2 linked regions of the Macaca fascicularis genome follow. Each later gene encodes a partner of the first gene's protein in a complex. Links are inferred from orthologs where the notes say so. Each region holds a gene or a part of one and is shown in the gene's direction. Other genes may lie near its edges.

Region 1 (15,634 bases):
CTGGGACTACAGGCGCACACCACCATGCCCAGCTAATTTTTTTGTGTTTTTAGTAGAGACAGAGTTTCACCATGTTGGCCAGGACAGTCTCTATCTCTTGACCTTGTGATCTGCCCACCTCGGCCTCCCAAAGTGCTGGGATTACAGGCGTGAGCCACCGCGCCTGGCCAAGAACGTTGTTATTATTATTTTTGAGACAGAGTCTTGCTCTGTCACCCGAGTTCGAGTGCAGTGATGTGATCGTGGCTCACTGTAGCCTCTGCCTCCTGGACTCAAGCAATCCTCCCACCTCAGCCTCCTGAGTAAGCTGGGGCCACAGGTGAGCACCACCATACCCAGCTAATTTTTAATTTTATGTAGTGATTGGGGTCTCCCTCTGTTGCCCAGGCTGGTCTCGAACTCCTGGCCTCAAGTGATCCTCCCAGCTCAGCCTCCCAAAGAGATGGGATTACAGGTGTGCGCCACCGTGCTCGGCCGCAGTCTCTGCTTTAAAGGAACCGAGCTCTGGTTTCCTGTCAGGAGCCAGATGATTGCCAGGATGCTGAAAAGAGTCTGAGCAGCTCCGACAGCGTGAGGAGTGTCAGCACGCTACTTTTGTCTTTCTCACAGTATTCATTCATTCACCCAGGTGCTTTAGAAAACAGAAGAGAGAGGGTGGATGAACTTACACTCCAGCTGTTATTAACATCATAGAAATTGGGCGTTATGAAAGGGTACTTTGGCATTGAAATAATTGGGATACCCTGGAGCCTGCTAACTAAAATTACACTTGAAGCTTTTCCAGGACTTTCTGCTTGATGTTGGCAAGACACACTGTCACAGCTGCTCGTGGCCCCGTGGAGCTGGCCCGCGGGTGGGCGTCGGTGTGCGTGGCCCCGTGGAGCTGGCCTACGGGCGGGCGTCGGTGTGCGTGGCCCCGTGGAGCTGGCGGGTGTCGGTGTGCGTGGCCCCGTGGAGCTGGCCCCCGGGCGGCCGTCGGTGTGCGTGGCCCCGTGGAGCTGGCCCGCGGGCGGGCGTTGGTGTGCGTGGCCCCGTGGAGCTGGCGGGCGTCGGTGTGCGTGGCCCCGTGGAGCTGGCCCGTGGGCGAGCGTCGGTGTGCGTGGCCCCGTGGAGCTGGCCCGTGGGCGGACGTCGGTGTGTGTGGCCCCGTGGAGCTGGCCTGCAGGCCGGCGTTGGTGTGAGTGGTTCTACTCTGGTGGCTCAGCACATGAGAGGTGACCTTGAGTCCCTCCTGCTGCCCTTGCTCTGTCCCCCTGCTGCCATCTTTGGCTGCCATCTAGACCCCCCAGACGTTCTTCTTGGGATTCAGTCACACAACCACTGTTCCGGGGGATCTTCCAGGGCCTGCTTTCTTCTGTTCGTGGTAGAGTCATCCCAGTGTGGCAGGAAATGGAGAGTCGTGTGCCTTGTTTTAGAGGGAAATGGAGAGTCGTGTGCCTTGTTCTCGAGAAGTCTGAAAGCAAAGGAGTGAGTCCCTCTCTGCAGGAAACCTGTCACAGGGGCTGGCTTCCTGGGAGAAGGGAGTCGAGATGAGGCCTCTCTGCGCTGAGGTGGCTGTTTAGATCCTGGGCTTTGGTGCTGGAATCCGAGGCATTAACCAAAACCACAAGTCGCGCGTGGCCTTCCTGGCCTGGCCTGACAGGTTTGTACTCTGGCGGGGCAGCCGTGGCCCACGCAGAGACGGCACCCAGCACAAGCACCGAGGGTTAGAAGGTGTCTAGAAATGCGGTTCAGAGGGCTGAGTGGCCATCTCCAGGGGCCCTAGCCTTTCCTCCTGGAAAGCGGGGAGATGACTCGTGTGGCCATTTCCAGCTTTTTGTCCAGGGGAATGCAAGCATCCTGGAGAACTGTGCTTTTTTAAATCAAGCTCACGGGATGTAAAGTATGATCCACACAACGTGAACTTGACTTTTTGATTTCCCAAGAGAGTCTTGAAGCAGGTCCCCCTCACAGGCAGGTCCAGGCCAGTTTCCCTCAGTGTTTCCGTTAGTGACAAAGGAGGGCCTGGCTGGATGACTTGCTCCCATCCCCTGTGCTGGCCCTGTGCAGCGCAGGCCGGCAGCCCCCTCCACCTGGGGCTGTGGTACCTAAAGGTGGAGTCTGAGTTGAGATGTGCTGTGAGCATAAAACACACCAGATTCAGAGAGTGCAAAATAGACGAAACGTCTGTGTTTATTTTTTGGATTGATGACATGTTGAAATGCTGTTTTGACTATATTGGGTTACTTACAATATAAAACTTAATTTTGTGTGTTTGTTTTGACTTTTCTAACGCAGCCGTTCAGATTTTAAATTACTTAGGTGGCTTGCGTTCTGGTTTTTTCAGACGGGTCTAAAGTAGTGTGGATGAAAAGCACTTACCTGACACAGTAAATTCCTGAAGCCTCCCCAGCATTCCCCAACACTGTGAGACTTGGGCTTTTTTCCAAGTTTACATTCCCTCACTAAGCAGACAAACCAAACAGGAAGCTAACCTGAGAAAGAAAGACAGGGTGAGGCGGAAGATCAGCCTGGTGCCTCCCCCTGCACAGCTTGACTCCTGAGTGGTCAGCTGCCACGCGTCTCATCCCCTGGTTCACAGACCCTAATGGGCAGCTCTAAGAATTAGGAAAACGAAAAGATACACAGACACACACACGCACACACATACACACAGTCTATCTATCTTTCTATCTCTTTTTCATTTCTATCATAAGGACAAGAAGGAGTTCACATTTACATAGGATGGACAGCATATATATTTACTGTAAAAAAAAAAAAAAAAAAAAAAAGAATTAGGAAAACCTCCCGAGGAGAGTCAGGCTGGGTGGCCTCACTCAGCCGCCCCGTGTGGACTGCCGCAGGAGAGCCTGCGTTTCCGGAGTCATGCCCTTGTTAGCCTGCATATGCAGGCTGGCTGCTGTGTGAGGCGCATGTGTTCTCGACTGGATGCTTGTCTGAACTGCATCCATGGCATGGAGGTGCGCAGACCTGGAGCTGGATCCCAGCTCGGCCACCTCTGCCTGGGGGGCCTGTGCAGATGAGCAAGCATGAGCCCAGGGCTTCATTTTCAACCCGTGTGAAAATAAGGCCAGTCCTCATAGTCATGCTGGGTGTCTTAAGTAAAAACCTAGAAAAGAGTCGGGCTCTGTGCCTGACCCGCTGTAGGAACATGAACATTAGCCACGTCCTTTTGGTGGGCCCCGAGGGAGATGAATCAAAATGCGGGGGCCCAGCAAGCTGTTCCATGAGTGTCCTCCGCCCACAGGGAAGTCCCACCTGGCCATCGTGCAGAAGGTGAACAACGAGGGTGAGGGCGACCCCTTCTACGAGGTCCTGGGCCTGGTCACCCTGGAGGACGTGATCGAGGAGATCATCAGGTCCGAGATCCTGGACGAGTCTGAAGACTACCGTGAGTCCAGACTCTTGGCAGTTACGTCTCCGCTGGGCCCGCGCACTTCCCCAGGTGTATGTTGCGTCCGAGGCCAGTGGGCCTCTGTGCTGCTGAAACCCAGCAAGATCCACAGCCAGGCCCCTTCTCAGCCCTGCCTGGGCGCTGGCAGGGAGCCGCCTTGCAGGAGGGCTCGCCTGGGGCTCCGTTAGCAGCAGTCCTGTTAGATTCCTCCATTACTGAGAGAGCTCTGCCCTTCATGGGCCTTTCCCAGCCTTCTGTCTCCCGAGGTGCTTTTGTTTTTGCAGGTTCTTTTGTACATTACAGAAATGTCCTCTGAAAGAACCCATTCTTTGCCATGAAGAAAGTCTTCCCGGCTGGACGCAGTGGCTCACGCCTGTAATCCCAGCTCTTTGGGAGGCCGAGGCGGGCAGATCACGAGGTTGGGAGTTCAAGACCAGCCTGGCCAATATGGTGAAACTCTGTCTCTACTAAAAATACAAACATTAGCTGGGCGTGGTGGCGTATGCCTGTAGTCCCAGATACTCAGGAGGCTGAGGCAGAAGAATCGCTTGAACCCAGGAGGCAGAGGTTGCAGTGAGTCGAGATCATGCCACTGTACTCCAGGCTGAGACACTGGGAGGGGGTGGAAATAAGTCTTCCCAAAGCAGCTGATCCCGGGCCCTTGATTTCGTGGTAAAAGTGTCTGCCTGTTAGGTTGGTGGCTGAGGTCTGCAGAGCTGCACAGAGCCTGCGCTTCATGGCCGGGCCCCCTGTCCCGCATGCTTCCAGAAATACTGCTTTACTCGTGTCAATTTTCAAACATAGCATTTCTGGTTCCATTCCTGAGACTGCCACAGGCCTGGGGTCTCCAGGTTAATTGCGGCCCTTTTGCACTGGTCATCCTTGAATACATGCTTTCTAGTGAGAAGTTTCTCAGTGGCCAGAGAGGCCTGTTACTATTTTTTAATTTTTAATTTTTTTTTTTTTTTGAGATGGTCTTGCTCTGTCATCTAGGCTGGAGTGCAGTGGTGCAGTCATGGCTCACTGCAGCCTCAACTTCCCAGGCTCGAGCTTTCCTCCCACCGCAGCCTCCTGAGCAGTTGGGACTGCAGGCGCATGCCACCACACCTGTCTAATTATTTTATTTTTTGTAACGACACGGTCTCCCTGTTGCCAGGCTGGTGGTGAACTTCTGGCCTTAAGTGATCCTCCCGCCTCGGCCTCCTGAAGTGCTGGGGTTACAGGTGTGAATCACTACATCTGGCCTAAATTAAAATAAAATTGAGTCCACGTCCAGTGACCTATCAGGGATGCCTGTTGTTTTATAAGAGCTGCTTTGTTATCATATCAGCGTTCTCTTCAGCCAGCTCCAAGGCAGGGAGCCACCCCTCGCTCTGTGTGGTTGGGGTGGGAGCAGGCCCCGTGGAGGGAGTGGTGCTGAAGACATGTCCCTGGGGCTCTGATGCTGCTCCGTCGAGGACCCCCTGGCCTCAGTAGGAAGGAGCAGGCAATGCAGTCCCTTGGTGTGGTGGTGTTGACTGACAGGTGGCTGATGCCTGAGCGCGCCCTCTTCTTCCATCTTAGGAGACACTGTGGTGAGGAGGAAGCCTGCTTCTCTGATGGCCCCTCTCAAGCGGAAGGAGGAGTTCTCCTTGTTCAAGGGGTCTGATGATGAATATAAAGTAAAAATCTCGCCTCAGCTGCTCTTGGCCACCCAGCGCTTCCTGTCCCGAGGTGAGGCGGGAGGGTGGTCCGCGCCCCCTGCTCTCTTCACCGTCCTGTGGGTCAGGAGGCCGCCCAGGGCCGACACTGACTCTGCTCCCCGCTCCTAGCAAGCGGCGCGTCTTGAGGACTTGTGTGTTCTCTGCAGCCCTGCCAGCATCCTGGGTCATGGGAGAGACAGCTCCTCTCTGCCAGACAACCAACAGCTGGGCCAGGCCAGCGCCACACCTGGTGCGCCACAGCCAGGGGCCTCAGCTCTCAGCTGCGCGGGTGTGGGGTGCCCTGCCCAGTTCTTTTTTTTTTTTTTTTTTAAAAAAGACAGGGTCTCGCTCTGTCAGCCAGGCTGCAGTGCAGTGGCACGATCTTGGCTCACCGCAACCTCCGCCTCCCGGGTTCAAGCGATTCTCCTGCCTCAGCCTCCCAGGTAGCTGGGCTTACAGGCGTGCATCACCACGCCCGGCTCATTTTTGTATTTTTAGTAGAGGCTGGATTTTGCCATGTTGGTCAGGCTGGTCTCGAACTTCTGACCGCAGGTGATCCACCTGCCTCAGCCTCCCGAAGTGCTGGGATTGCAGGCGTGAGCCACCGCACCTGGCCCCTGCCCAATTCTCTTGTGTTGAGGTGTGGGGGCAGCTGCTGACAGGCCACCCAGGAGAGCCCTGCGGGGCAGAATAACTTTTAAGTTGCCTGCAGCGTTGGGTGTGGTTCCACCGGCCACTAGGCCCCAGTGGACACTGTCCCTTTTCCCTCCGGGCAGAAGTGGATGTGTTCAGCCCACTGCGCGTCTCGGAGAAGGTCCTGCTGCACCTGCTGAAGCATCCCAGCGTCAACCAGGAAGTGAGGTTTGACGAGAGCAACCGCCTGGCCGCGCACCACTACCTCTACCAGCGCAGCCAGCCGGTGGATTACTTCATTCTCATCCTGCAGGTAGCTGTGCGTCCAGGCCTGGAGCCCCTCCTGCCTCCTCAGGCCAGGGCAGGGTCTAGGAGAAGAGGGGAGCAGGGGCGTGCAGATACGCACCCTCCCGCCCCGAACAGTTGAGGTGGTGGGTTTCTCCTTCCGCTGTCTTCTGACGGGAAAGGTGATCTGGCCGCACCTGTTTCTCTCCTTGCCACTCCTCCCAGGGCAGGGTTGAAGTGGAGATCGGGAAGGAGGGTCTGAAGTTCGAGAATGGGGCCTTCACGTACTATGGAGTGTCGGCGCTAACCGTGCCATCCTCAGGTAAGCCGTGGCCCTGCTGGTGCTGAGGGTCAGGGTTGAGGCTGCAGAGCCTGTCTCCCATTGTCGCTTGGGCCCTCAGTGCCCCTCCTCGCCTTCCTTCCACCTGAGCCCACCGCCCCACGAGGTGGTGTGGCCCCTGGGCTTCCGGGCGGGAGGGCAGCATTCTTCCTCGCTCGACTTTGCGGCTCGCTCCACCCCTGCAAACCCTCTCCTGCCTGTGCTCATTCTCCTCTCCCTGCTTCCCAGGCACATCGCCTCTCCAGGGCGATTGGTGGGGTGGCTCTTCGAAGCTGTGCAGTTGTCCCCTCCAGGGGAGGGGGCTCCCAGCTGCCAGCACTGGCTTCTGCCATCACTGATTGTTCCTTCGATAGTTCACCAGTCCCCGGTGTCCTCGCTCCAGCCCATCCGCCATGACCTGCAGCCCGACCCAGGTGACGGCACGCGTTCATCTGCGTATTGTCCCGACTACACCGTGAGGGCGCTCTCCGACCTGCAGCTCATCAAGGTGACTGCCTGGGCTGCTCGTGCGTGCTGACTTTAGCCGACTTTGTGTCACTGGGGGCTAGATCAGCTGGTCTGAGACGGCCCGGAGCAGGGCCTTCCGCTCATCCTGAGGGACACAGACCTTTGCACCCAGTTTCCCTGCGAGATCTTAAAAACACTTGACTCAGTTGCTCTTCCCTTAACTCGCTTAAACTTGTGCCTCTGCCCTCTTCTGGCATGGCGTGACCTTTCTTGCCTACCTTCTGCGTCTCGCTTCACCAGTGGGGTCTGCCAGTAACACTGTCATCCTCCAGGTTACGCGGCTGCAGTACCTCAACGCACTCCTGGCTACCCGAGCTCAGAACCTGCCACAGTCCCCTGAGAACACCGACCTGCAGGTTATGCCAGGCAGCCAGACCAGGCTCCTTGGTGAGAAGACCACCACAGCGGCAGGTGAGCGCCGAGTGGCACACTGTGCGCGGTGTCTGGACCCAAGGGCCGTGAGCTCACACACACAGACTTGCACTTTCGCCGCCCCACCCTGCCCTCTGTCTTTTTTCTCTCTTTTCTCCGCATCCTTTTCCCTTCTTGTTTTTCTTTTTTTTTTTTTTTTGAGATGGAGTCTTACTCTGTTGCTCTGTTGCCCAGGCTGGAGTACGACGGTGTGATCTCGGCTCACTGCAACCTCTGGCTCCTGGGTTCAAGCAATTCTCCTGTCTCAGACTCCTGAGTAGCTGGGATTACAGGCGTGAGCCACCATGCCTGGCCAATTTTTGTATTTTTAGTAGAGATGGGGTTTCACCATGTTGGCCAGGCTGGTCTTGAACTCGTGACCTCAGATGATCCACCTGCCTCAGCTTCCCAAAGTGCTGGGATTATAGGCATGAGCCACTGTGCCCAACCCCCTTCTTGCTTTTTTTTTTTTTTTAATTCTTCATTATTCAACTTGAACTTCTTGCTATTTTTAATAGCATGGATGACGCCAAACTATAGACTAACTGGTATTTAAAGTAGAGTATAGTAAGTCAATATTTTCTCTCAAGGATCTCTTAGAATGGATTGACTTAATCAGAGAATTGTTGGGAAGTGGGAATAAGTTTTAGTTCAGACACTCTTTTGGCCATTTAAGATTAAGCTTAGGTCACTTGGAGTCAGCAGTGGCCCTGGCTTAGAGGGTGTGTGGCTGGCAGACACCATCCTAGACACTAGAAGGACATTTGTGAGGAGTTTGGCCAGTTCATACTAATATTTAAGCGTGGCCCATCCAGGGCTCCACTGCGAGCGGGAAGATTGTGTTGGAAGAAATTTTGCAAATGGAACTAGAGGTTGTGGGATGTGAAACCCCATCCCCCCACTGCAAGGAGGGAGGTGAAAGAGTCTGAAGTGTAGGCTGTGGGTAGGAGTGGTGAAGGGTTTCTTGTTCTTGTTTTTCGAGAAGATACTTTATTTATTTATTTTTTTTTTTGAGACGGAGTCTGGCTCTGTCGCCCAGGCTGGAGTGCAGTGGCCGGATCTCAGCTCACTGCAAGCTCCGCCCCCCGGGTTTACACCATTCTCCTGCCTCAGCCTCCCGAGTAGCTAGGACTACAGGCGCCCGCCGCCTCGCCCGGCTAGTTTTTTGTATTTTTTTAGTAGAGATGGGGTTTCACCGTGTTCGCCAGGATGGTCTCGATCTCCTGACCTCGTGATCCGCCCGTCTCGGCCTCCCAAAGTGCTGGGATTACAGGCTTGAGCCACCGCGCCCGGCCTGAAGATACTTTAATTCTGATTGCGTTCCTAACGCTGGGGTCAGATCTGCCTGAACGTGAGGTTCCTGGAAGAGCCGGTGGGGCTTCCGGAGAGGCTGTGGAGGGAGCTACGGGCTTGCTTCCTCCCACCCCCACCTGCCCCACCGTGAGGAAGATAAGCTCTTACCAACGCTTCCCCCGCCAGGGCACTGCGCTAGGAGCTTCCATGTCTGACTCTGCTAACCTCCCTGTGGCCGGAGGGGCGCTAGCTCTTCTGCCCGTTCTACAGGGCAGGAAGGAGAGCCAGAGAGAAGGCCCAGGCACTCTGACCTGCTTCCTGTAGGCCTCCCATGGAGCCGCTCTGGCTACTCAGACCCACACTTGAGAGCACAAACATGTTTTTCTAATAGTCCTTTCTGAATTGTGAGGTGACGTGCAGGGGAGGGAAATCCCACCCTGGGCCACGTGGATGCCTTAGCCCCTGGGGGCTCCAGATCCAGGTGCTGGCAAAAAGGCAGCAGGGGAGGCCGTGCTGCTTCAGTCTTGGATCTGAGGATGGGCTGCATCTCTTTCTAAAGAGATCCCTCTAAGGATGGTGCCGCACCTTCTGTTCAGAGATAAGATCTTGCCATGTTGCCCAGGCTGGCCTCATACTGGGGACTCAGGTGATCCTCCTGCCTCAGCCTCCGAAGGAGCTGGATGAGCAGCTAGTGCCCCACCTTCTAGGGTTGCTGAAGCTTGACCCATGGTGATGGTTTCTTATTGTATGGGGTGCCCCTTCTACTGAAGTTCATACTGTCCCATCACACTGGAGTCTCAGAGGCCAGGGCGGTGTGCTTTTCACAATGTGAGCCTTTTGGTTTTGGTTTTCCCACGTGAGCCTTTCTGGCTCACTGCCACCCAGACTGCACATGTTGTATCGAAGATACAGACCTAATCCCAGAATAGTGCTTTTCCCGTCATTGCATCATATATACCCAGAGATTTTTAAAAAATCTTCACGGGGCCGTCCTGTAAGAGAAGAGTTTATAGTGGCTTTGTGGGGCATTTCCTCTTGGTAATGGATTATTATTCTCTAGACACAATGTTGGTTATTTTCACCCAAGTACAACCTGACAGTTGCTCCAGTGAGGCTGACCTTCTCTTTCTGTTTCTTGCCTGAACTCGGCTTGTCCTGCGTTTTGTCCTGTGAGCTTGGCACTTCACTGTCCGGAGGAGCGTAGGGCCGCTGCACACCTGGAGATTTCGGTGGGGTGCTGCTTAAATCGTGCAGATGAGAACCAGTTTCTGGGGACCTTGGCACTAGACGCCCAACAGAGAAGTGCCTTTTTTGAGACTTGGAAGACACAATAATTTTAAATTGCCTACAGCAGGGTTTGGCAAATGGTGCAAGGGTCACATCTGGCCAGCAGCCTATTTTTGAGAATGAAGTTTTGTGAGAACCCACACATCGGTTTGTGGATTGCTGTGGCTGCCTTTGAGTTACAGCAGTGGAGCTGAGTAGCTGTGACAGAGACCATATAACCTACAAAAACTAGAAATATCGGCCTTTTACAGAAAGAGTTGTCTGACCCCTGGCCTACCATTTCAAACCCTGGGTAGGTCCTCCGCATCAGTTCTCCGTGGAACTGTATCGTCGAGGGTAGGTCCTCCGCGTCAGTTCTCCGTGGAACTGTTGTCGCCGAGGGTAGGTCCTCCGCGTCAGTTCTCCATGGAACTGTATGGCCGAGGGAAAGGCGGCCCCCATGCTGTGCAGCCCTCCATGCTGTGCTCCCGGCTTCCTCAGCCGGCCGTCCTGAGCCAGGCTGTGGGGCAGTGCAGCGCCAGCACTGCGGCTGCCGGCTCCCCCTTGGCTTCCCCTGCTTGGGGCATCAGCCCTCTCCATGGTGCTGCCCGGAGCCAAGAGGCACAGCCATTTCTGCTCAATAGCTTCTCCTCTTCTTTCTCTCTCTGCTCTCTTTAGCCTTCCCAGTAGACCTTTCCCTCTTTGGCACAGTTGGAAACTGCAGTTGATAAATGACTGTGGACTAGTGCGCGTTTTTTGTTTTCAGAGCACACCCAAGGTAAATATCTTCCCTCTCCCTGCCCCTTCACTTTCCTCTCCTGGCCCTTCAGCTGTGGGAGGAGCAGAGCCCTCGGCTCCCCAGGCTGGGGGCCTTTTTTCTCCAGGGGTGCGGGGTGGGCGCTCCCTTCCATTCTTCTGGAAGACAGGAGGGGTCACGAGACTCTTCCACTGTGGAAAATGGTGCTTCCTTCCAGCACGGGGTGCTGTATTGTCCCGGGAAGGTGCCTCTTGTTCAGTATAATGACCTGGGACCCCCTGGGGCCAGAAATCCACAGCCCCAGCTTCCCCCATGTCCCAGGGAAGGCATCTGTTGGCTGACCATCTGCTAACCGATCGCTCCCGGCTCTGCTCTGATACCTCCCAAGGCCTCCTGAAGCCCCCGTCTTAGCTGCCCCTTCCTGTCCACAGAGGATTTGGCACTTGGTTTTGGCAGGTCCCTTTACCAGCTTTGATGTGAATTTTCCTTCCCTTGTCTTCTGTAGGGTCCAGCCACAGCAGGCCCGGCATCCCGGTGGAAGGCAGCCCCGGGCGGAACCCAGGTGTCTAACTGCTCACTAGGCAGCCCCAGATCTGGGGAACAGATGAGCACGTGGGGAGCTGGAGTGAGCTGAGCAGAAGCTTCGTGCCCGCCTGCCCCCATCCCCTCCAGGCCACGTTTTAGATGGCCCTTGTAGATGCGGGTCCTGGGTGTCCTCAGAACTAGACATCAGTGCCTGGATCCTTCAGCCGGTCCTGCCCTCCTTTAGGAGACAGGAGTCACCAGGGCACAGCCCTCCAGGCCCGCGTCAGGAAGGAACGAAAGGAATGCCATCATCTCTAGTCCCCAGGGCCCAGCCTTCCCCTTCTCCCCCGAGGCTGGGACCGTGTGGCGTATTCAGATTCAGACCTCTTCGGGCCGAGCCACCTTGTGAGTGCAGTTACTGCCTTTATGTGGCCGTGACCTGTACTCGTTTGCTTTTAATTTGCCAACCTATCGCTGCTGGCAGCACTTTTCGAGCAGGCCAAGTGCACCCATTTTGGCTGGGGGTTCAAATCGATGGCCTTGTCCATGGCGTCCTTTCTGGCTTCCCTAACGGTGTCATGTTTCAGAGCATGTGCCCCAGCCTTTCCCATGTGCCAAACCAGAAGCTCCACTGCCCGAAGGCTGTCCCTGTAGCCCTGCACCGTCCCTGGAGGCTGCTCTTCTGACCCTGAGAGCTGGCCTAGTGGTGCTGAGGGCTCCTTTCTGCTTCTCTGCCCACCTGCTGAGTTGCCACTCACAGCGTTGTCAGTTCCTGTGTTCTGAGAAGAGGTCACGCCTGGGAGGAAGGGATCGTCATGCTGCATCGAATCCTCTCTCCGCTGTGTGGCCCCGGGAGCGTAGCTGCCTGTTGCACCTGCTCCACACCTCTCCACGGCCTCCCCGCAGGTGCTGTGTGGTGTGATGTGCAGAGAGCAGCGAGGGAGGCTTTAGGAACCAGGTGGATCCTCTTTAAAAAAAAAAATCAGTTTTTATTACATCTCTAGAACATTTCAAGTCTTTTCGTTTGTTTCTGTTCCTAGCTATGGGGTTTTAGAGAAGTGGGAACTGGAAGGCATTTGTCTTTTTCTTCTAATTTACTACATTTTCCTTCCGTAGTTCTTCAGCTGTGTGGAAATGGGCATCACAAGGACACAGGATCATAGATTGGGTAGGGAGGGAGGAGGATTTCTGGAACTTTTCTCAAAGGAATTTGGACCCTTAAAAATGGGACTGAAGGTCAAAAGAACAGTGGTATGCTTGCTTAGAAATTGTCCTCAAGGAGTCAACTGTGAGAGCAAGCCCGGTTTGGAAACAGATGCATTAAAATCCTGTCTCCAGAACAGTATTTTTTTGTTTGTTTGAGACGGAGTCTCACTCTCTTGCCCAGGCTGGAGTGCAGTGGTGCGATCTTGGCCCACTGCAACCTCCACCTCCCAGGTTCAAGCCATTCTCCTGTTTCAGCCCCCTGAGTAGCTGGGATTACAGGTGTCCACCACCACACCCGGCTAAGTTTTGTATTTTTAGTAGAGACAGGGTTTCACCATGTTGGCCAGGCTGATCTCGAACTGACCTCAGGTGATCTGCCCGCCTTGGCCTCCTAAAGTGCTGGGATTACAGGCGTGAGCTAAGAACAGTGATTCTTAACCTTGGCTGCACATCAGAATCACCTGGTATTAAAAATACCTGGACCTGCCACCAAAGCTTGTGATTTAATCAGAGTCTGGGCATCAGAGTTTGCAATTTTTTATTTATTTTATTTTTTATTTTTATTTTTTGAGACAAGATCTTGCTCTGTCACCCAGACTGGAGTGCAGTGGTGTGATTACAGCTTGCTGCAGCCTCGACCTCCCTGGTTCAGGCCATCCTGCCACCTCAACCTCCTGAGTAGCTGGGACTGCAGGTATGCACCACCACACCCAGCTAATTCTCTTAATCTTTTGTAGAGCTAGGGTCTCATTATGTTGCCTGGGCTAGTCTCGAACTCCTAGGCTCAAGCCATCCTCCTGCCTCGGCCTCCCAAAGTGTTGAGGTTATAGGCGTGAGCCACCATGCCCAGATTCACAGAAGAGGTTCATACACCTTTCACCGAGGTTCCCTTAATGTTAACATCTTACATATAACCTTGGTACATTTAACAAAACTAAAAAATTAACATTGGTGCAATCGTACTATTAGAGTTTATTTGGATTTTGCCATTTTTCCCCAATGTCCTTTTTCTGCTGTAGCAGCCAATCCAGGATGTCATGCTGCACTTAGAGCTGTTGCTTTCTTTTTTCCTAACTTTATATTTTGAACTAATTTCAGAATATAGGAAGTTGTAAAGATAAGGGCCTCATGCAGCCTTCATCTGGTTTCCCTCAGTGGTTACATCTTACGTGATTGTAATGCAGTATTCCAAGCAAAACTTTGACACTGGTGCAGTGTGGGTGGACAGTCCCAAATCATGTGTCATATGTACATCTGTGTAACTACCACTGCAATCACGATAAAGAAATCCCATCCCCACAAGGATCTCCCTTCCCGCCACCCCTAACTCCTGGCAACCACTAATCGTTCCGTCTCTTATTTTGTCATGTCAAGAATGTTGTATAAATGGGAGCATAGTGTGTAAGCACTTGGGATTGTCTTTTTTTTTTTTTTGAGACAGAGTCTGGCTCTGTCGCCCAGGCTGGAGTGCAGTGGCGCGATCTCAGCTCACTGCAAGCTCCGCCTCCCGGGTTCCCGCCATACTCCTGCCTCAGCCTCCCGAGCAGCTGGGACTACAGGTGCCGCCACCTCGCCCGGCTAGTTTTTTGTATTTTTAGTAGAGACGGGGTTTCACCGTGTTAGCCAGGATGGTCTCGATCTCCTGACCTCGTGATCCTCCTGCCTCAGCCTCCCAGAGTGCTGGGATTACAGGCGTGAGCCGCCGCGCCTGGTGGGATTGTCTTTTTCACTCGGTGTCCTCGGAGATCATCCAGCGTTGCATGTGTGTGTTCACAGTTTGCTCCTTTTTGTTGCTGAGTGGTATTGCGTGGTGTACACATTGGTCCCGTGAAGGACACCTGGGATGTTTCCAGTTTGGGGCTATTCCAAATAAAGCTGCTACGACTGTTGATGTACAGGTTTCTGTGTAAAGATTAGTTTTCCAGGAGTGTAAATGCTTGGCCATAGGGTTGTTGCATGTTTCGTTTTTTAAACCATCAAACTCTTACGTCCTCACCAGCAACCTAGGACAGTCAGTTTCCCCGAATCCTCCGCAGCACTTGGTGGTGTCGTGTTTTTACTTCAGCCGTTCCGACAGGTGTGTCGTGATGCCTCACGGTGGTTTTTCATTTGCGTTTCCCAGTGATGGACACCTCCCGTGTTCCCCTGCAGTGGAATATCCCTGTCTTTCACCCTTTTCTGATTGGATTGTTTTTTCTGTTGAGTTCTGAGAGTTGTTTTGAGATTGCTTTATGGGATTTTTGGTTTGCATTGGTCTGTAGCTTATCTTTTTCATCCCTACCCCCCCTTTTTTTTTCTGAGACAGAGTCTCACTTTGTCACCCAGGGTGGAGTGCAGTGCCACAGTCTTGGCTCGCTGTGTACTTGACTCCTGGACTCAGGCAGTTCTCCCGCTTTAGCTCCCCAAGTAGATGGGACTATCACCACGACCAGCTAAATTTATTTTTATTTATTTATTTATTTTTTGCGATGGAGTTTTGCTCTTGTTGCCCAGGCTGGAGTTCAGTGGCACGATCTCGGCTCACTGCAACCTCCGCCTCTCGGGTTCAAGCGATTCTCCTGCCTTAGCCTCCTGAGTAGCTGGGATTACAGGCATGCACCACCACACCCAGCTAATTTTGTATTTTCAGTAGAGACGAGGTTTCTCCATGTTGGTCAGGCTGGTCTCAAAACTCCTGACCTCAGATGATCCGCCTGCCTCAGCCTACCAAAGTGTTGAGATTACAGGCGTGAGCCACCATGCCCGGCCTACGCCCAGCTAATTTTTTTTTTTTTTTTTGAGACGGAGTCTCGCTCTGTCGCCCAAGCTGGAGTGCAGTGGCCGGATCTCAGCTCACTGCAAGCTCCGCCGCCCGAGTTTACGCCATTCTCCTGCCTCAGCCTCCCGAGTAGCTGGGACTACAGGCGCCCGCCACCTCGCCCGGCTAGTTTTTTTTTGTATTTTTTAGTAGAGACGGGGTTTCACCGTGTTAGCCAGGATGGTCTCGATCTCCTGACCTCGTGATCCGCCCGTCTCAGCCTCCCAAAGTGCTGGGATTACAGGCTTGAGCCACCGCGCCCGGCCACGCCCAGCTAATTTTTTATAGAGATGGGGTACCATGTTGCCCACACCTGGTCTCAAACTCATGAGCTCAAGTGATCTGCCTGCCTCAGCCTCCCAAATTACTACAATTACAGATGTGGGCCACTGTGCCCAGCCATCTTTTCACCCTCTTGGGGTTTTATACAGAGCAAAAGTTTTCAGTTTTGATAAAGTCCCCTTTACTGATTTTTCCTTTATAGACTGTCGCTTTTAGTTGCATTTAAGAACTCTACGTAAGGCCGGGCGCGGTGGCT
Region 2 (16,306 bases), on another chromosome or scaffold:
GTTCACACTGTTAGACCAACATCCAGAATGTGGTGGATTGTAACCACATTCTTATTAGGAGAGGCAGACACACAGTGGTTGAGGAAGTGGGGCCCTGGAAATATATTTGCTGGGTTCAAATCCTCCTGGCTCTGTCATATACTACCAATTGGGTGACCTTGGTTAAGTGGCTTCACTGTTATTTATCTCAGTTTCTCCACGAAATGGGAATAACACGGTAATACTAGGAATAGTGATGTAAAATGGGGATAATGACAATTCCCAACCCTCAGGATTACGAAAGTTAAATTAGTTAAAACATATCAAGTGCTTAGAACAGTGCCTAGCACAGCCGGGCATGGTGGTTCACGCCTGTAATCCCAGCACTTTGGGAGGCCGAGGTGGGTGGATCACCTGAGATTGGGAGTTCGAGACCAGCATGACCAACATGGAGAAACCCCGTCTCTCCTAAAAATACAAAATTAGCTGGGCCTGGTGGCGCATGCCTGTAATCCCAGACACTCGGGAGGCTGAGGCAGGAGAATCGCTTGAACCCGGGAGGCAGCAGTTGCGGTGAGCTGAGATCGCGCCATTGCACTTCAGCCTGGGCAATAAGAGCGAAACTCTGTCTCAAAAAAACAAAACAAAACAAAACAAAAACAAAAACAGTGTCTGACACATAGTAAGTGCTCAATGTCAGCTATGAACATCATTACCTCCTAATCCCTTTATTGTGTAGGTAGACTTGCTGCTTCACTTCCAACAGCTCTAGCTTCAGTTATTAATAACTCCTTTTCTATTTTCCAACTGCCAAATGGGGAAGCTGAGTCACGGGGTATTAGAGAATGCTGTGAAGTGAACCCAGATGGCAGGGCAGCGCCAGAGGTTCAAGTGTAGTAGGCCCTCCATATTTCTGAATTCAACCAACCAGGGATCAAAAATATTCAGGAAAAAAAAAAATAGCATCTGCACTAAACATGTACTTTTTTCTTGTCATCATTCCGTAAACAATACAGTGTAACAACTACATAACATTTACACTGTATTAGGTATAATCTACAGACGATTTAAAGTATACGAGAGAGAGGATGTGTGTAGGTTATACGCAAATACTATACCATATTATATTTTTTATTTTATTTTTTAGACTGAGTCTAGCTCTATCGTCCAGGCTGGAGTGCAGTGGCACGATCTTGGCTCACTGCAACCTCTGCCTCCCGGGTTCAAGCTAAGATTCCAGTGCCTCAGCCTCCCGAGTACCTGGGATTACAGGTGCCCGCCACCATGCCCGGCTAATTTTTGTATTTTTTTTTGTAGACACGTGAGTTTCATCAACTTGGCCAGGCTGGTCTCGAACTCCTGACTTCAAGTGATCCTCCCGCCTCGGCCCCCCAAAGTGCTGGGATTACAGGCGTGAACCACAGCGCCCGGGCCATTTTATACTTTATAACAGGGACTTGATTATTCGCAGATTTTGGGATCCGCAGGGGTCCTGGAACCAGTCAATCCCCTACGGATAGGGAATGACCTACCGGCCTGCAGTTCCCCCGCTGATGCTCAGCGAGGCCCCGAGGAGCTCCCCGTCCCCGCCGGCCTCCGCTGCCCCATGTGAAAGATGAACTAAGGAGGCTGAGCCACGTTTCTCAACTTTTCCCTCTCCCTCGTTGCCAGTTCCCGAAGTCGTTTTCTTCTCTGGCCGAAATCCAGTCCCACTTGACGGCGGTGGAGCTGGGGATTCTGACTGTGGATCGGCCCGGGAAGGATCCCGCGGAGGCAGCCGCCTTCCCGTCCACTCAGGCCCCAGCCGAAGCTTTCCAGCTCCCGCCGGCACCGGGACAGCGAACCCCTCCGCCCGCGGACCTACGCCCTGAGCGAGCCTTGACTTCTCCCGGAATTCACAGCTTCACTCCCTCCCCTCCCCCAAAGGCGGACGCAGGGGAAGCTCTAGTGCCTGAGGAGGCCATAGAGTGCAAACTGGAGCGTCTCAGGGTACGACACCAGGGCTTCCTGCACAAGCGGATAGGCCAGGGGCGGGGGATTCCTGCAAACAGCTGGAACCGACGCCCTGCCCCCTCCGCCCCGCCCCTGCAAAAGAGGGCTGTAAAATTCCGGAAGAGAGATTAGAGGCAGGGGATGGGTGGGGCGGCGAATAGTACATTCCTTCCTCCCCCTGCCTCCTCCTACCGGGTTATCACTCTGGGAGGGTTGAGTCGTCTCTTGCCTTCTCTTGGCCGGTGCACTGGCAGCGTCCAGACATGGGGCTTGAAACCTCCCATGCTCGTCTGAACTTTGTGGAGCCTGGGTCGCTTATTTCGCAGCTCATGACTCCATCTGGTTTCGGGCTCGGAAATTTTGGTTGTTACTTGCAACTGGGTCTTTTCAACTGGGTCTTTTCCATAAGAGTGCTTCATAGGCCTGTCTGTGCGTTTGTTAGTAGTTCCTATTTATTGAGCGAACTTTGCAATGGAGGCGTACTTTATTTAGTGTTAGAGGGAAGGAACCTGAAGGTTCAGACAGGCTGTGAAACCTCAAGGCCACACAATGGCAGAGCCAGGAATCAACTCAGCGATTGGTTCCATACATTTCCCATCACATCCTGCTGCTTCCTTTGTTTCAGGTCTTTAAAAGGCAAGACTTATTTGTTAGGGGGTAGGGAAGTAACATTTATGGACCACCTCCCACTGTGCCAGCTTACTTTAAATATGTTGTCTTTAATCACTTAATTTGTCACAACACTTCAAGACAGATGTGATCACCATGCCCATATTACAGATGAGGAAAACTTTAGAGGTGAGAAGTTTAAGCGCCAGAGCAGGGATTCCTGTACAGTCATATTGCAAGGCCTGTGCTCTTTCTAAAACCATAGTTAATGTCTGCATAGTGCTTGACAGTTTACAAAGCAAAGTATTTTCAAGGTCTTCATTTTAGAGCTATCATCCTATTTCATAGATGAAGAGAAAGGTTCATTTGTGAAGTTACAACATCTGTTCAAGGTCACAAAGCTAATGGTAAGTTGCAGAAACCGTAATTTTGAAATCAACTGCAGAACTGGTGGTATCAAGGCTCTTTTCATTTATTCATTGCATGGTGCCAAGTACCAACCTAAATAATACTAGCTAACATTTATTGAATACTTAACATGTGTTTAATACATGAGTTATACACACTAAGTCCTTTAGTCCTCAAAAAACCTTTTTTTTTTTTTTTTTGAGATGGAGTCTCGGTCTGTCACCCAGGCTGGAGTGCAGTGGCACGACTTGGCTCACTGCAACCTCTGTCTCCCAGATTCAAGCAATTCGCCTCCCTCAGCCTCCCGAGTAGCTGAGATTACAGGCATGCGCCACCACGCCCAGCTAATTTTGTATTTTTAGTAGAGACGGGGTTTCACCATATAGGCCAGGCTGGTCTCGAACTCCCAAACTTGTGATCCGCCCGCCTCCGCCTCTCAAAGTGCTGGGATTACAGGAGTGAGCTACCATGCCTGGCTTAAAAAACCTTTTTTTTTTGAGGTTTACCTTTTCCATTTTACAGATGGGGAAATAGAGACTCAGGCAGATGAAATAACTCCCCAAGTCTACGTACACAACAACAAAATGGCAATGCAAAGATGCCAGATGAATTAGTGTAAAATCCCAGGGTGGGAACCAGTCACCTGTTCCCAACCTCTGTCTAAACCACTTTTCCGAGGGCTTCAGTTTCTTTGCCACAGGATCATGACTTTTTTTTTTTTTTTTTTTTTTTTTGAGACGGAGTCTCGCTCTGTTGCCCAGGCTGCAGTGCAGTGGCCGGATCTCGCTCACTGCAAGCTCCGCCTCCCGGGTTCACGCCATTCTCCTGCCTCAGCCTCCCAAGCAGCTGGGACTACAGGCACCCGCCACCTCGCCCGGCTAGTTTTTTTGTATTTTTTAGTAGAGACGGGGTTTCACCGGGTTAGCAAGGATGGTCTCGATCTCCTGACCTCGTGATCCGCCCGTCTCAGCCTCCCAAAGTGCTGGGATTACAGGCTTGAGCCACCGCGCCCGGCCATTACGATCATGACTTTTTTTCTTTTCTTTTTTGAGACAGAGTCTTGCCTGTCACCCAGGCTGGAGTGCAATGGTGCAATCTCAGCTCACTGCAACCTCTGACTCCCCGGTTCAAGCGATTCTTCCGACTCAGCCTCCCGAGTAGCTGGGATTACAGGGGTTCACCACCACACCCAGCGAATTTTTTTTTGTACTTTTAGCAGAGATGGGGTTTCGCCATGTTGGCCAAGCTGGTCTTGAACTCCTGGCCTCAGGTGATCCGCCTGCCTTGGCCTCCCAAAGTGCTGGGATTACAGGCATAAGCCACTGTGCCCGGCAGACCATTACTTGTTTTTCTAACCCCTGTGTGTAGTGGGCCTACATAGCTCCTGCTCTCAAGGAGCTAACGCTCTGTAAAATCAGCCAAGAGTACTGCCAGCTTGCCCCCACAGGGGCACTGGGAAGATTAATCAGTGAATGGCACTTGGAATGCTTCAGCAAAAGCACTGGATAAACTCAGAGCACTTATGCGTGAAACTCACTGCTAGGGGTGGTTCCTGCTGTAATAAGGCACCTGCAGCCCAGTTTCTGATCTGTTTGAGGTGTGGAGGGAGTAAGACCACGTTACAGCCTCTGTGGGAAGCCATTTGGATGTCAGGGGTGAGAGCATCTCTCTGCTGTCGGGGGGAGAGGGGGTAAGAGAATGTGGCAGTGGTGTCATGGTTTAGGACCTTTCTGTCTCAGAGGCAGATATTTCACAAGGGGTTCCAGCTTATCCTGAGGACACCAGTTATTGACTGAAGTCAGAAACGAATATCATGATTATTTGGGCTTCAGAGGCAAACAAACCTGGGCTGAATCCTGTTTCTGTCATTTCGTCTCTCTGAGCCTCTGGTTCCTTTTTTCTTTCTTTCTTTCTTTCTTTCTTTCTTTCTTTCTTTCTTTCTTTCTTTCTTTCTTTCTTTCTTTCTTTCTTTCTTTCTTTCTTTCTTTCTTTCTTTCTTTCTTTCTTTCTTTTTTTTTTTTTTTGACAGCGTCTCACTCTGTTGCCCAGGCTGGAGTGCAGTGGCATGATCTCAGCTCGGCTCACTGCAATCTCCGCCTCCCAGGTTCAAGTGATTCTCTTGCCTCAGCCTCCTAAGTAGCTGCGTTTACAGGTGCACACCACCACGCCTGGCTAATTTTTGTATTTTTAGTGGAAACGAGGTTTCACCATGTTGGTCAGGCTGTTCTCGAACTCCTGACCTCGTGATCCACCTGCCTTGGCCTCCCAAAGTGCTGGGATACAAGCATGAGCCACTGCAGCTGGCCTTCTTTTTCTGAGACAGAGTCTGGCTCTGTTGCCCAGGCTGGAATGCAGTGTCTCGGTTCACCACAACCTCTGCCTCCCAAGTTCAAGTGATTCTCCTGCCTCAACCTCCCACGTAGCTGGGACTACAGGCGGGTGCCACCATTTCCGGCTAATTTTTGTATTTTTAGTAGAGATGGGTTTTCACTATGTTGGCCAGGCTGGTCTCAAACTCCTGACCTCGTGATCCGCCTGCCTTGGCCTCCCAAAGTGCTGGGATTACAGGTGTGAGCCACCACGCCTGACCGATTCTCTTTTTTAATGGGGGTAATAGTACCTTCCTAATAGGGTAATTTTGAATCATAAACTTGATAATAGATTTTATTTTATTATTTATTTATTTTGAGATAGAGTTTTGCTCTTGTTGCCCAGGCTAGAGTGAAGTGGCGCGATCTCACCTCACTGCAACCTCCGCCTTCTGGGTTCAAGTGATTCTCCTGCCTTAGCCTCCTGAGTACCTGGGATTATAGACGCCTACCACTACCCTGGGCTAATTTTTATATTTTTAGTAGAGATGGGGTTTTACCATGTTGGCCAGGCTGGTCTCAAACTCCTGACCTCAGGTGATCCACCTGCCTCGGCCTCCCAAAGTGTTGGGATTACAGGCATGAGCCACTGTGTTGGGCCTTGATAACATTTGAAAACATTTCAGTCAGGACTTGGAAAAGAGTAGATGCTTAATAAAAGGTAACAATGGCTGGGTGTAGTGGTTCATGCCTATAATCCCAACACTTTGGGAGGCCAAGGTGGGAATATTGCTTGAACCCAGGAGTTCTAGGCAACATGGCAAGACCTCCATCTCTACAAAAATAAAAAAATAATTAGCTGGGCATGGTGGCATAGGCCCATGGTCCCACCTACTTGGGAGGCTGAGGTGGGAGGATTGCTTGAGCCTAGGAGGTTGAGGCTGCAGTGAGCCATGTTTGCACTATTGCATTCCCTCCTGGGTGACAAAGTGAGACCCTGTCTTAAAAAAAAAAAAAAAAGAAAGGCTGGGTGCAGTGGCTCACGCCTGTAATCCCAGCACTTTTGGTGGCTGAGCAGACTGATCACGAGGTCAGGAGATCGAGACCATCCTGGCTAACACGGTAAAACCCCGTCTCTACTAAAAATACAAAAAATTAGCCGGGTGTGGTGGCGGGCGCCTGTAGTCCCAGCCACTCGGGAGGCTGAGGCAGGAGAATGGTGTAAACCCAGGAGGTGGAGCTTGCAGTGAGCCGAGATCGCACTACTGCACTCCAGCCTGGGTGACAGAGTGAGATTCTGTCTCAAAAAAAAAAAAAAAGGGGGTAAACGTAACTATTATTGGGGCCATTATTCTTATCCTTATGTTGTTAATGTTGTTATTACACTATTTTATTTCAGGGCCAGAAGGAGAGCTAGGTGGAGGGGAGTGTCATTTACTTGGTCAAACAATCTACTAGATGAAAACAAACAAGCAAACAATCTGCTAGACTGCCCCAAATAGATCCATCTAAGCGGGGGAGAGTCTGAAAACAGGCAATTACAGTATTATGTTAAGTGCTATGGTAGAGGATTGCACAAGGTGTTTTGCAACTTTATCGGAAGAATCAATAACTCATAGACGCAGCAAAAGTTTTGCAGAGGAGGTAGCTCTTTGTTTCAAATCAGTCTGTGTTTCCAGGAAGTAGAAAATACTGCTTGCTGGAGGCAGACAGAATGCAAGTGAGCCCAGTCTGTGCTCCTCACCCAGGGGCCTTGCTACTGATCTGCAGCCCCTCTTGCTCCTCAAGGCCTCTCTCAACTCCCACACAGCCCTGCTAACCAGCTTTGCCCTAGAATACCCCCTCCTGGGCCACCTGCTGGTGGTGAACATCCTGGACTCTGCTCTGTGGCTTGATGCGGCTGAGTCATAAGACCTTTCATTTTACTGCTAAGCTCTAATGGAAGCCTTCTGGTCAGTAGCAATGCCCCAAGTCTACCTTGTGGGGAAGGTCTAATGATGACAGATTACTGCTTCTCCCCGCAGGGCTGGATGAGCATGGATGTGGTGGTGAGGTAGGGGAGAAACACCCACGGGGGCATCTTCATTTCTTCCTAGATAGGAGCCAGTTCTGGGCAGGCAAGACTTCCCAGGAGTGGACAGAAAGAACAGACCCTCCCCAACCCGCAATTCTCAGGGGGAGACATCTCCCTTCCTCCCAAGCCAGCCCCCAATGCCGCACTTTGCCTGTCATCTGGCCGTGGCCCAAACCAGCCTCCCAGCTCGCTAGTGACCACATTTTCCAAACCAAAACTCAGGACGCATGATCTGGCAAAGAATTTCTGGCTAGCTTCCAAATGCAAGAGGCAAAAACCTTTCCACTTGAGAATCTCTATGATAATCTGCGTCGTTAAAGGTGACATTAAGTCGGAAACCTTGAAATTCAGGGTCTCCTCTTTCTCAAGCGTTTTGTTTTCCTTTTTTTTTTTTTGAGACGGAGTCCGGCTCTGTCGCCCAGGTTGGAGTGCAGTGGCGTGACCTTTGCTCACTGCAACCTCCACCTCCTGGGTTCAAGCGATTCTCCTGCCTCAACCTCCCGAGTAGCTGGGATTACAGGCGCGCACCACTATGCCCGGCTAATTTTGTATTTTTGGTAGAGATAGGGTTCCACTATGTTGGCCAGGCTTGTCTCGAACTCCTGACCTAGTGATCCGCCCGCCTCGGCCTCCCAAAGTGCTGGGATTACAGGCATGAGCCACCGCGCCCGGCCTTTCTCAAGCGTTTTCATACGTTATTATCGATCGTGAAAGCGCCCATGAGGTTGCTGATTATTATTTTCACTTTATAGTTGATAATACTTGGAGAGAGGGAATCACTTGCCCAAGATCCTACATCCTGAAAGTCTGAATTTTGGCTTGTCAGGGACAGTTCTTAGGATGTGTGTGTGTCTTGTGGGCAGAGCCGGGGGTGGCGTATTAATATCCTCCACGAAGATGCACACGCCATTTATTTGGGGCCTCAGGAAGGGCAGCCAAGAACTGAGCTGCCCGGGTTCCCACTTCTGAGTTGGAAATCCCCAAGCACAGGACTTGGTGGCCACCCTGTCCCATCAGGATCTGACCCCAGGCCTGACGGCCTAGGAGCGAGAAAGAACCCTTCGACCTTGCGGGTCACACCTCGGCTGCAGGCCCTCGACCCAGCCCAGGTGCGGATGGGCGGGGCGCAGCGTGGGCGAACGACTCCCCAGGCCACGTTCTGCTTTTCCCTCCCCGGTCACATGGACTCGCCTTCCGTAGCCGGGAGTGCGGAGCAGAACGAACCACCAGGAGGAGGAGCGGGGGAGGTGCCCAGGGCAGTGGGTCAGAGCCCCGCGGGGCAGGTGGGCGGGCCCAACCGCCCGCGAGCCGGCCGGCCAGCCAGTCAGCGAACGCGGAGGGCGGGTCAGCTGCCCATTGAGCCGCGCCCCGCAGCGACCCCTGAGGGGCGGCGGCGGCGGCGGGAGCTGGTTCCGGCTGCGCGCGCAGCGGTGGTGGCGGCGGCGCGATCGGCCGGGCTGTAACCGTCGTCCGTCCGGGAGCGGCTGGAGCGGCAGCGGCGGCCGGGCACGGCGCGAGGCGACGCCACAGGGCAGCGGCGGCAGCGGGGGCAGCGGCGGCAGCAGGAGACGCAGCGGCGACCGCAGCAGCAGCAGCAAGACGGACTCGTGGAGACGCGCCGCCGCCGCCGCCGCCGGGCCGGGCCGGGTGTCGCGCGCCGAGGCTGGGGGGGAGTCGTCGCCGCCGCCGCCACCGCTACCGCCGCCGCCGCCGCCGCCGAGGTGACTGAGGAGAGAGGCGCCTCCTCGCTCCCGCCGCCGCCGGACTTCAATGCCCAGTCCCCAGCTCGCCAGCGTGAGTGCGCCCCTCCCGGGCGGCCCCCGCGCCGGCGCCGGGGGCCTCGGGGAAGGGGAGGGCGGGAGGCGCTGCAGCCATTAGTACAGGCCGGAGACACGTCCCCGGAAGGAGGGCCGGGCTGGGCCGGGGCGGGGGAGCGAGGGTGGGTGAGCGAGGGGCGGGCTCGTGTGTGTGGAAGGGGGAGAGCTGTGCGAGCGTGGGGGAGAGTGTGAGTTGGTGAAGGGAGGGCGTGTGAGTGGGGGACAGGGCTGAGTGTGCGAGGAGGTGGGGGGAGTGGGAGCGGGTCGGGGGACAGTGTCGATGTTGGGGGAGTGTGGGTGCAGGCGGGGGAGGGTATGAGTGTGCGGGGAGCGTGTGGGCATGAGGGGTGGGGGTACATGAATGAGAAGTGGGGGAGGAGAGAGTTGAGAGTGTGGTAGAGAGCGAGTGTAGGGGGAGAACATGGTGTGTGTCGGTGAGAAGGTGCGTGGCAGAGGCGGGAGTGTGGCAGGGTGTGCCGGCGTGTGTCCAGTGTGTGAGCAGGCATCCTGGAGGCCCTTCCTCTTCGTCTTTGTGTGTGGCGATAGTGAACCGTGCTGTGTTGGGTTAGGGAGTTCTTTCCGGGAGCATCTTGTCCCTGGGTGCTCAGGTTCAAGTATGAGGAAAGGGGGTATAAGTCTCTTCTAGTGGCACTATGATCTTCTGGCTCTGGGATTTTAATTTTTTTCCCCCCCAGAAAAGATGTGATGTGTTTTTTTTGTTGTTGTTCTATACGTTTTTTTTCTCCCACGTTTCATAACTTCAAAGTAAATTTTCAAATTTGTCAAGGATGCCATCCTATCCTAGTCTGGGTCCCTGAGAGCTAACGAAAAGAAGTTTGTCTGTTGCCCAAGAGCCTACACTCTGGCCTGTAGAGTGTTCAGGAGCATAAACTTTTGTAAAGTACTGCTAGTTTTTCAGGTGAAGAGTATTTTATTGTTAGGTAAATTAAACTATAGGCTAGTTTATTATTTCCTGGAATTTGTCAAGAAATTAGCAGTGACCCGCAGTTCTAGTGTCACTGTAGGCATTCAGCAAATGTTTGTCTGGAGTCACCAAACTACAACCACTGCTGAGTTGGAATATGGTACTTGCTGTCATGCTCTGTAACAGAGTAGTTTCAGAGGGAAGTGAGTGAAGTTATGCCTTGCCGAATGTGCAAAAGGAAATTAAGGATGCAGAATGACACATTATCAGGGCTTCAGAATCACTTGCCAGCACACCATTGTATTGGTGAAGATGGTGAGAAGTTGTTTGCTGGTATTCTGATCTTGGCATTTTTAAGTTTCATAATGAATGGACTAATTATTGTCATGGACTTTTCCCATTCTTGAGTTGTAAAAGTAGGGATTCTTGATGAAGAGTAGTACCTCGATAGGGATTTTACACTTTGATATAATATTAAAAATGATGTTATCTTAAAAATAATTGTCTCTTAGAAGTTGGTAGTCTTTCAGTATAAGCAAAAAGTAGTATGGTCCTTTTGTTGTTGTTGTTTTTTTTTTGAGATGGAGTTTTGCTCTGTTGCCCAGGCTTCCCAGGTTCAAGTAATCTCCCGCCTCAGCCTCCCAAGTAGCTGAGAATACAAGTGTGCGCCACCACACCCAGCTAATTTTCATAGTTTTAGTAGAGACGGGGTTTCACCTTGTTGGCCAGGCTGGTCTCGAACTCCTGACCGCCACTGATTCACCTGCCTTGGCCTCCCAAAGTGCTGGGATTAACAGGCGCGAGGGTGGTCCTTTTGATCGTGAACATAATAGAATTACAGGCAAAATCATTGATGTGTAATTAAAAGTTAGAATTTATATTTTTCGGCTGGGCGCGGTGGCTCACGCCTGTAATCCTAGCACTTTGGGAGGCTGAGGCAGGAGGATCGATTGAGCCCAGGAGTTCAAGACCAGCCTGGGCAACGTGGTGACTCCATTTCTACAGAAAATACAAAAGTTAGGCATGGTAGTATGTGCCTGTAGTTCCAGCTATCCTGGAGGCTGAGGCGAGAGGAACTTGTGATTTCAGGAAGTCAAGGCTGTAGTGAGCCAGTGAGACCCTCTCTCAAAAAAATAAGAAAGAAATAGTAAATAGTATTGTTACTATTCAGTGAGGGAAGGAATTAATTAGTGTTAATTGCCTACTGTGCTACAGGTGCTTTTTATATTCATTTAATTCTCACAACTACAAGAAAGGTGGTCTCTTCATTTGCATCCATTTGGCTTATTTTGAACCACTTCTGTTTGCCCGGCACTAGGGATACAGCGATGAGCTCCCATGGATTTACAGTGGTGAGAAGAAGAGATACAGAAACTTAAAAGGTTAAGTAACTTGTCCCAGGTCACACAGATAATAAGAATTAGTGCTGGATTAAAAATCCAGGTCTTTGACTCCAAAGCTGTTGATTTTTCCAATACATCATACTGCTGTTTCAATAGCTCATCTTACATTGAGGTTTCTCATCCACATGATGACCTAGCAGCTTGTACTTAGGAGAGCTGTTGAAACTAATAGAGAAGGCTGGAGGCAAGGGGATCATTTAGGAGATGCTGACTGGAGGCTCTTTGGGGCCTAAGCTAGGCTTTTATGTGGGAGGAGATGCTGCCTTGAAACTCTCTTCGGGCTCTGGGTGTGTGCTTTGAGACAGTTTTTATGAGGCATCTGGGATATGTCTGCGTGAGGGAAGTCTGATTAAAGAAATGCAACAGCCTTTTATGTTTTATTTTTTGGAAAAAAGAGAATATATTTATTGGGGCCAAGAGTGAACTAGAGCTTAACCACTGTATGAAAGTTTCTCTGTTGAGCTGTGTGGGACACTTAAATCAGAAGAAGTGAGAATATACATGTGAAAGCATTTTGTTAATTATAAATTGAACTACAGATTTGAAGTATTATTGCCACTAAGATCTTTCTACTAAGGCAACAGATTTTGTAGCTGGAAAAGGCTGGCGTTTTCGAACACCTTTATAGATGAGAAATAGTTTCGAACTGCTGAACGGGGTATTTTCTGACTCAGAACAGCAAAAGTCAGGCCACTCCCTCTGTGAGTCAGTCAAGTAATATTTAATTTGAACAAACCAAATTTATAGGCAGAAACCATTTACAACATCATTGAACTTTGTAGCACTAGGAAGAGTAAATGTTTGAATACTTTTGTGTGTAGCTTTGAAAAAACATAGTATGAGAGCCCCATATATAGTTGACTTGAAAAAAAATTTCAAACAAGGTAAATTGGATTTATCTTTCTTAAGAATTAACTTTATTCATTTTGTCCAATAAAGGTAGTATTTCCTTATGCAGTAATTAAGGAACACTTTACAATTTTCAGACACAAAGTTGAAATTTAGTAGGGATTTATTTTACAGGATTTGAATATACTTTTTCCTTTTTGTTGTAATGTGGGGGTTGGTAACCAGTGAAGCCTAGAAAACTAATGTATTTACAAACAAGATGCAGAGGGAGCAGATGCATACGTTTTTAGCTGTTGCTCTTGGTCTTGGAAGAATGAAGCTTAAGTTTTTCTGAAACTAAGTTTGGTTAATTTATTTGGGTGCTAGTCCATCAGCTGTATTTGTTGAATAGAAGATGGAATCTAGTTTTAACATGGTGGACTTAGTTATGTTTATTGAATAGGGTGATGGTAGAGATCTTGGGGTACTGGTAGAGTTCAGTATTACACTTTTAGGGTTTAGGTTTCCACATTCCCTTCTTATGCCAAATCATGTATTGTCTCATTTAAAATTCAATAATCCTGTAAGTAGTATTCTGTTAGCTTTACAGATAAGGACATTTATTTATAGATTGATTGTTGTTGTTTTTTTTTTTCAGAGTCTTACTCTGTTGCCCCGGCTGGAGTGCAGTGGTGCGACCTCAGCTCACTGCAGCCTTCACCTCCTAGGTTCAAGCGATTGTCCTGCTTCAGCTGGGATTATAGGTGTGTGCCACCATGCCTCGCTAATTTTTGTATTTTTAGTAGAGACAGTTTTGCTATGTTACCCAGGCTGGTCTTGAACCCCTGAGCTCAGGCGCGAGCTGCTTGCCTTGGCCTCCCAAAGTACCGGGATTTGATTATTAAATCCCAGGTTTTAGAATCTAGGTTAAAGATTATCAATAGAGAGCAGCGAATAATTTTTTTTTTTTCCTTTTAGGGGCTTAAAGTTCTTAAATCTCTGTTGAACAATGGATGCCACCAGTTATAATTACTTTGGGAGATGGTGATTTGAGTCTCTTAATCTGTGAAATATTAGAAAAGTCTTGGCTAGGCACAGTGGCTCATTTTGGGAGGCAGACACAGGAGGATCACTTGAGGCCAGGAGTTCGAGACCAGCCTGGGCGACATAGAGACACCATCTCTACAAAAAATACAAAAACTAGCCAGGCATAGTGGCATGAGCCTGTAGTTCCAGCTACTTGGGAGGCTAAAGTTGAAAGGATCACTGGAGCCTGGGAGGTCAAGGCTGAAGTGAGCCGAGATTGCACCACTGTAGTCTAGCCTGGGAGACAGAGGGAGACCCTGTCTCAAAAAAAAAGAAAAAATCTTTTCGCCATTTTCATCTTTTGGACTATTACTACGTATAGAGGTGTCAGTTAGCTTTATCTCATTATCCTTTATTGGCTGAATTCTATTCTATGGGCTCCCTTGACTCCCTGGCCACTGTCTCAGCACTTGAAGCCTTTTAGGTTGTTTAGTGTAGAGATGAGGTACCTATTGTGTGAAAATCTTTTTGCTCTTTGGAGTGGTAGAGGTCTAGGCTCAACCAGAAACTGTCACTACCCTAGCACCTCCATGAAAGAAGCTGCACAGCAATGCTGTCTGTCTGCTTTCCACAATTCCCCATTGTGGAGTTACCAGGACTCAGGTGAGAGAATGACTCCTTTCCTGCACTGTTTGTTCAGTCAGTGTAGATTTACAGGACTCCGAAATCTATCCCAGAAAAATGACTGTGAGGAGTCGACAGATTATACGGATATATATATATATATTTTTTACTTTTTTTTTGAAACGGAGTCTTGCTCAGTTGCCCAGGCTGGAGTGAGGTGGCGCGATTTCGGCTCACTGCAAGCTCCGCCTCCCAGGTTCACGCCATTCTCCTGCCTCAGCCTCCCGAGTAGCTGGGACTATAGGCGCCCGCCACTATGCCCGGCTAGTTTTTTTGTATTTTTAGTAGAGACAGGGTTTCACCATGTTAGCCAGGAAGGTCTCGATCTCCTGACCTTGTGATCTGCCTGTCTCGGCCTCCCAAAGTACTGGGATTACAGGCGTGAGCCACTATACGGATATTTTTATGTGACTTGAATATAGATGGTTTTTGTTTGCCTGTACTGATTTTCTTGCCCACAGGTTACATTAACACAGCATCCACTTCATTTTAAGTGGCCTAGACACTAAATTTCATCATTTGAATATAAATTTACATTACACAATGTTGGCTTTTTAAATTGTTGAGAATTTTAAGATTAGGCTTTTTCGTGACCCTTTTTTTGCTAGTTGAGCCTGGTTTGAAAAAATATTTTGAACATTAGAACAGTCTTTACCTTTAGAGAAGTGGTGTATTTAATTTCTCTCATAGTATTTTTTATTTGAAATTTTATTCTTCTCAAAACTTTAATTCTTTTGGCATAAAATATACACAGGATATTTTTGTTTTAGCAGATCAGATAAATTACTTTATATTTTTATTTCTGCAGTGGTCAGATATGTTGGCTGTTAACTAAATGTATTGTTTGACAGGAATTCAGATTCACGATCAGGTCTGTTTTCTTCCAGTTGTCCTTTAGTTTTTGTTTAAATTTGACCATCTTTTTATTTTCCCCACTGTTTTACAGGAAACATTCACTAGGTTGTATCACCACAGTATTTGTAAATTGGATTTATGTACACATATTTGTATTTGTTTTTAGTAGCAGAACAAATAGTTATGTATTGTATTTTCCATTATTGGTGAAAAGCCTTTCATTAGGGAACGGAGAGACTGGTTAGTGCAGAAGGATATGAGTCACCAGCAGGATTTGTCAGCAACTAGAGAAGGATATGATGGAGAAACAATAGATTCTACTGACATTATTTTCATTCCACATGTGTGGTTACAAACAAGTTTCCTTTTGGTGGATTAGTTTAAGTTATGCAAATTTGGTCTTTCTGGGTGAAAAGTACTTTAAATATAAGTCACAGACTGTATTCTCATTTTTTTTTTTTAGATGGGGGTCTTCATTTGGAGGTCATCAACGGGTAGAATTTAGTTAAACTCATTATCTGTTGACTACGATTTAGTAAGTTGAAAGAATATTTTTGTTAAGCTTTTTGGTGATTATGGAGCTGCTTGCTCAGTAGATCAGAGGAGGCCCATAAATACGGCAATATTTGCTCTCTGTCTCAGTGAGCAAAGAGTTGCTTTTTTTACCACTATTCTGCTTTTAAATTCCTAAGAGCTTTTATTGCATTTAAATTGGTCTGAAATTCTCAGCCTGGTCAAGGCTTCTCCAGAGTTATCTAACCAAAGACTAAGCCTTTCTCATGTCACACTACCATGGTTCTTCACTGTTTTTACCAGTTTTCTATTATAAAAGTTTTACCTTTCTTCAGAACCCTTAATCCTATTCCATTCTTCTCATGCTTACTTTGTATCTTTAAAATATATGGTGTTAATATGAAAACTTAATACCAATCAAGCGTTTTACACCCACGTTGATTCTTCTAGGAGCTTGATCCTGGATAGTGTTTGTATGATGTACACACGTCTCTGCAAATGCTTGTTCGAAGATTGGCTGTGCTGCATTTTGGTATAATTCAGAGGTGACATATTGTCCCTCGTCTCAGTAAACATTTGGAGGAAGAGGACGAGAAAGATTGAATTTTACTTTCTTTAATTAGAAAGAAAAGGAAGGTGAATCCATGTTGAACTAAGCTAGTGAGTAAAGAATAACTCCTTGACATGGCATTATAGAGTTATTTCACCATTTTTATTTCACGTTAATATGTAGTATGAAATATTTACTTTCACTGTGTGGTTTTTAAAGATCGTAATGTTACTGTGTTTTGTGAAAGTATGCCATTATTGGACAATTAGTGGATAGACAGTACATTTTAAAAGGCCACCAGCAGCTTCAAATAGAATGATTTGGATTCTTGACT

The links.
Region 2: the proteins of CNNM3 (region 1) and PTP4A2 are in contact, whole or in part, in a crystal structure (PDB 5K25), measured with the Homo sapiens proteins. The link is inferred for Macaca fascicularis from reciprocal best matches to the Homo sapiens genes CNNM3 and PTP4A2. Residues at the interface, in NP_060093.3 of Homo sapiens: Leu390, His391, Phe392, Val393, Phe394, Asp396, Thr397, Glu405, Ala414, Gln417, Val419, Glu424, Gly425, Asp426, Pro427, Phe428, Tyr429; in NP_001356788.1 of Homo sapiens: Met1, Asn2, Arg3, Pro4, Asp69, Gly70, Cys101, Ala103, Leu105, Gly106, Arg107, Arg134, Arg135, Gly136, Ala137, Phe138, Asn139, Lys141, Gln142.

The regions. Positions count from the first base shown.
Region 1 is NC_088387.1:1,843,478-1,859,111, forward strand, and holds the end of CNNM3 (metal transporter CNNM3), read left to right. Parts: intron 1-3,247; coding exon 3,248-3,445; intron 3,446-4,957; coding exon 4,958-5,107; intron 5,108-5,852; coding exon 5,853-6,022; intron 6,023-6,219; coding exon 6,220-6,316; intron 6,317-6,687; coding exon 6,688-6,821; intron 6,822-7,113; coding exon 7,114-7,252; intron 7,253-10,489; exon of another isoform or gene 10,490-10,589; intron 10,590-11,073; coding exon 11,074-11,138; 3' UTR 11,139-14,187; downstream 14,188-15,634. UniProt on the Homo sapiens protein: Probable metal transporter.
Region 2 is NC_088375.1:203,087,515-203,103,820, forward strand, and holds the start of PTP4A2 (protein tyrosine phosphatase type IVA 2), read left to right. Parts: upstream 1-8,795; 5' UTR 8,796-9,141; coding exon of another isoform or gene 9,142-9,165; intron 9,166-9,347; exon of another isoform or gene 9,348-11,495; intron 11,496-13,002; coding exon of another isoform or gene 13,003-13,108; intron 13,109-13,953; exon of another isoform or gene 13,954-14,033; intron 14,034-15,378; exon of another isoform or gene 15,379-15,444; intron 15,445-16,306. Other genes in the region: uncharacterized protein, read left to right, coding at 9,142-9,165, 13,003-13,108.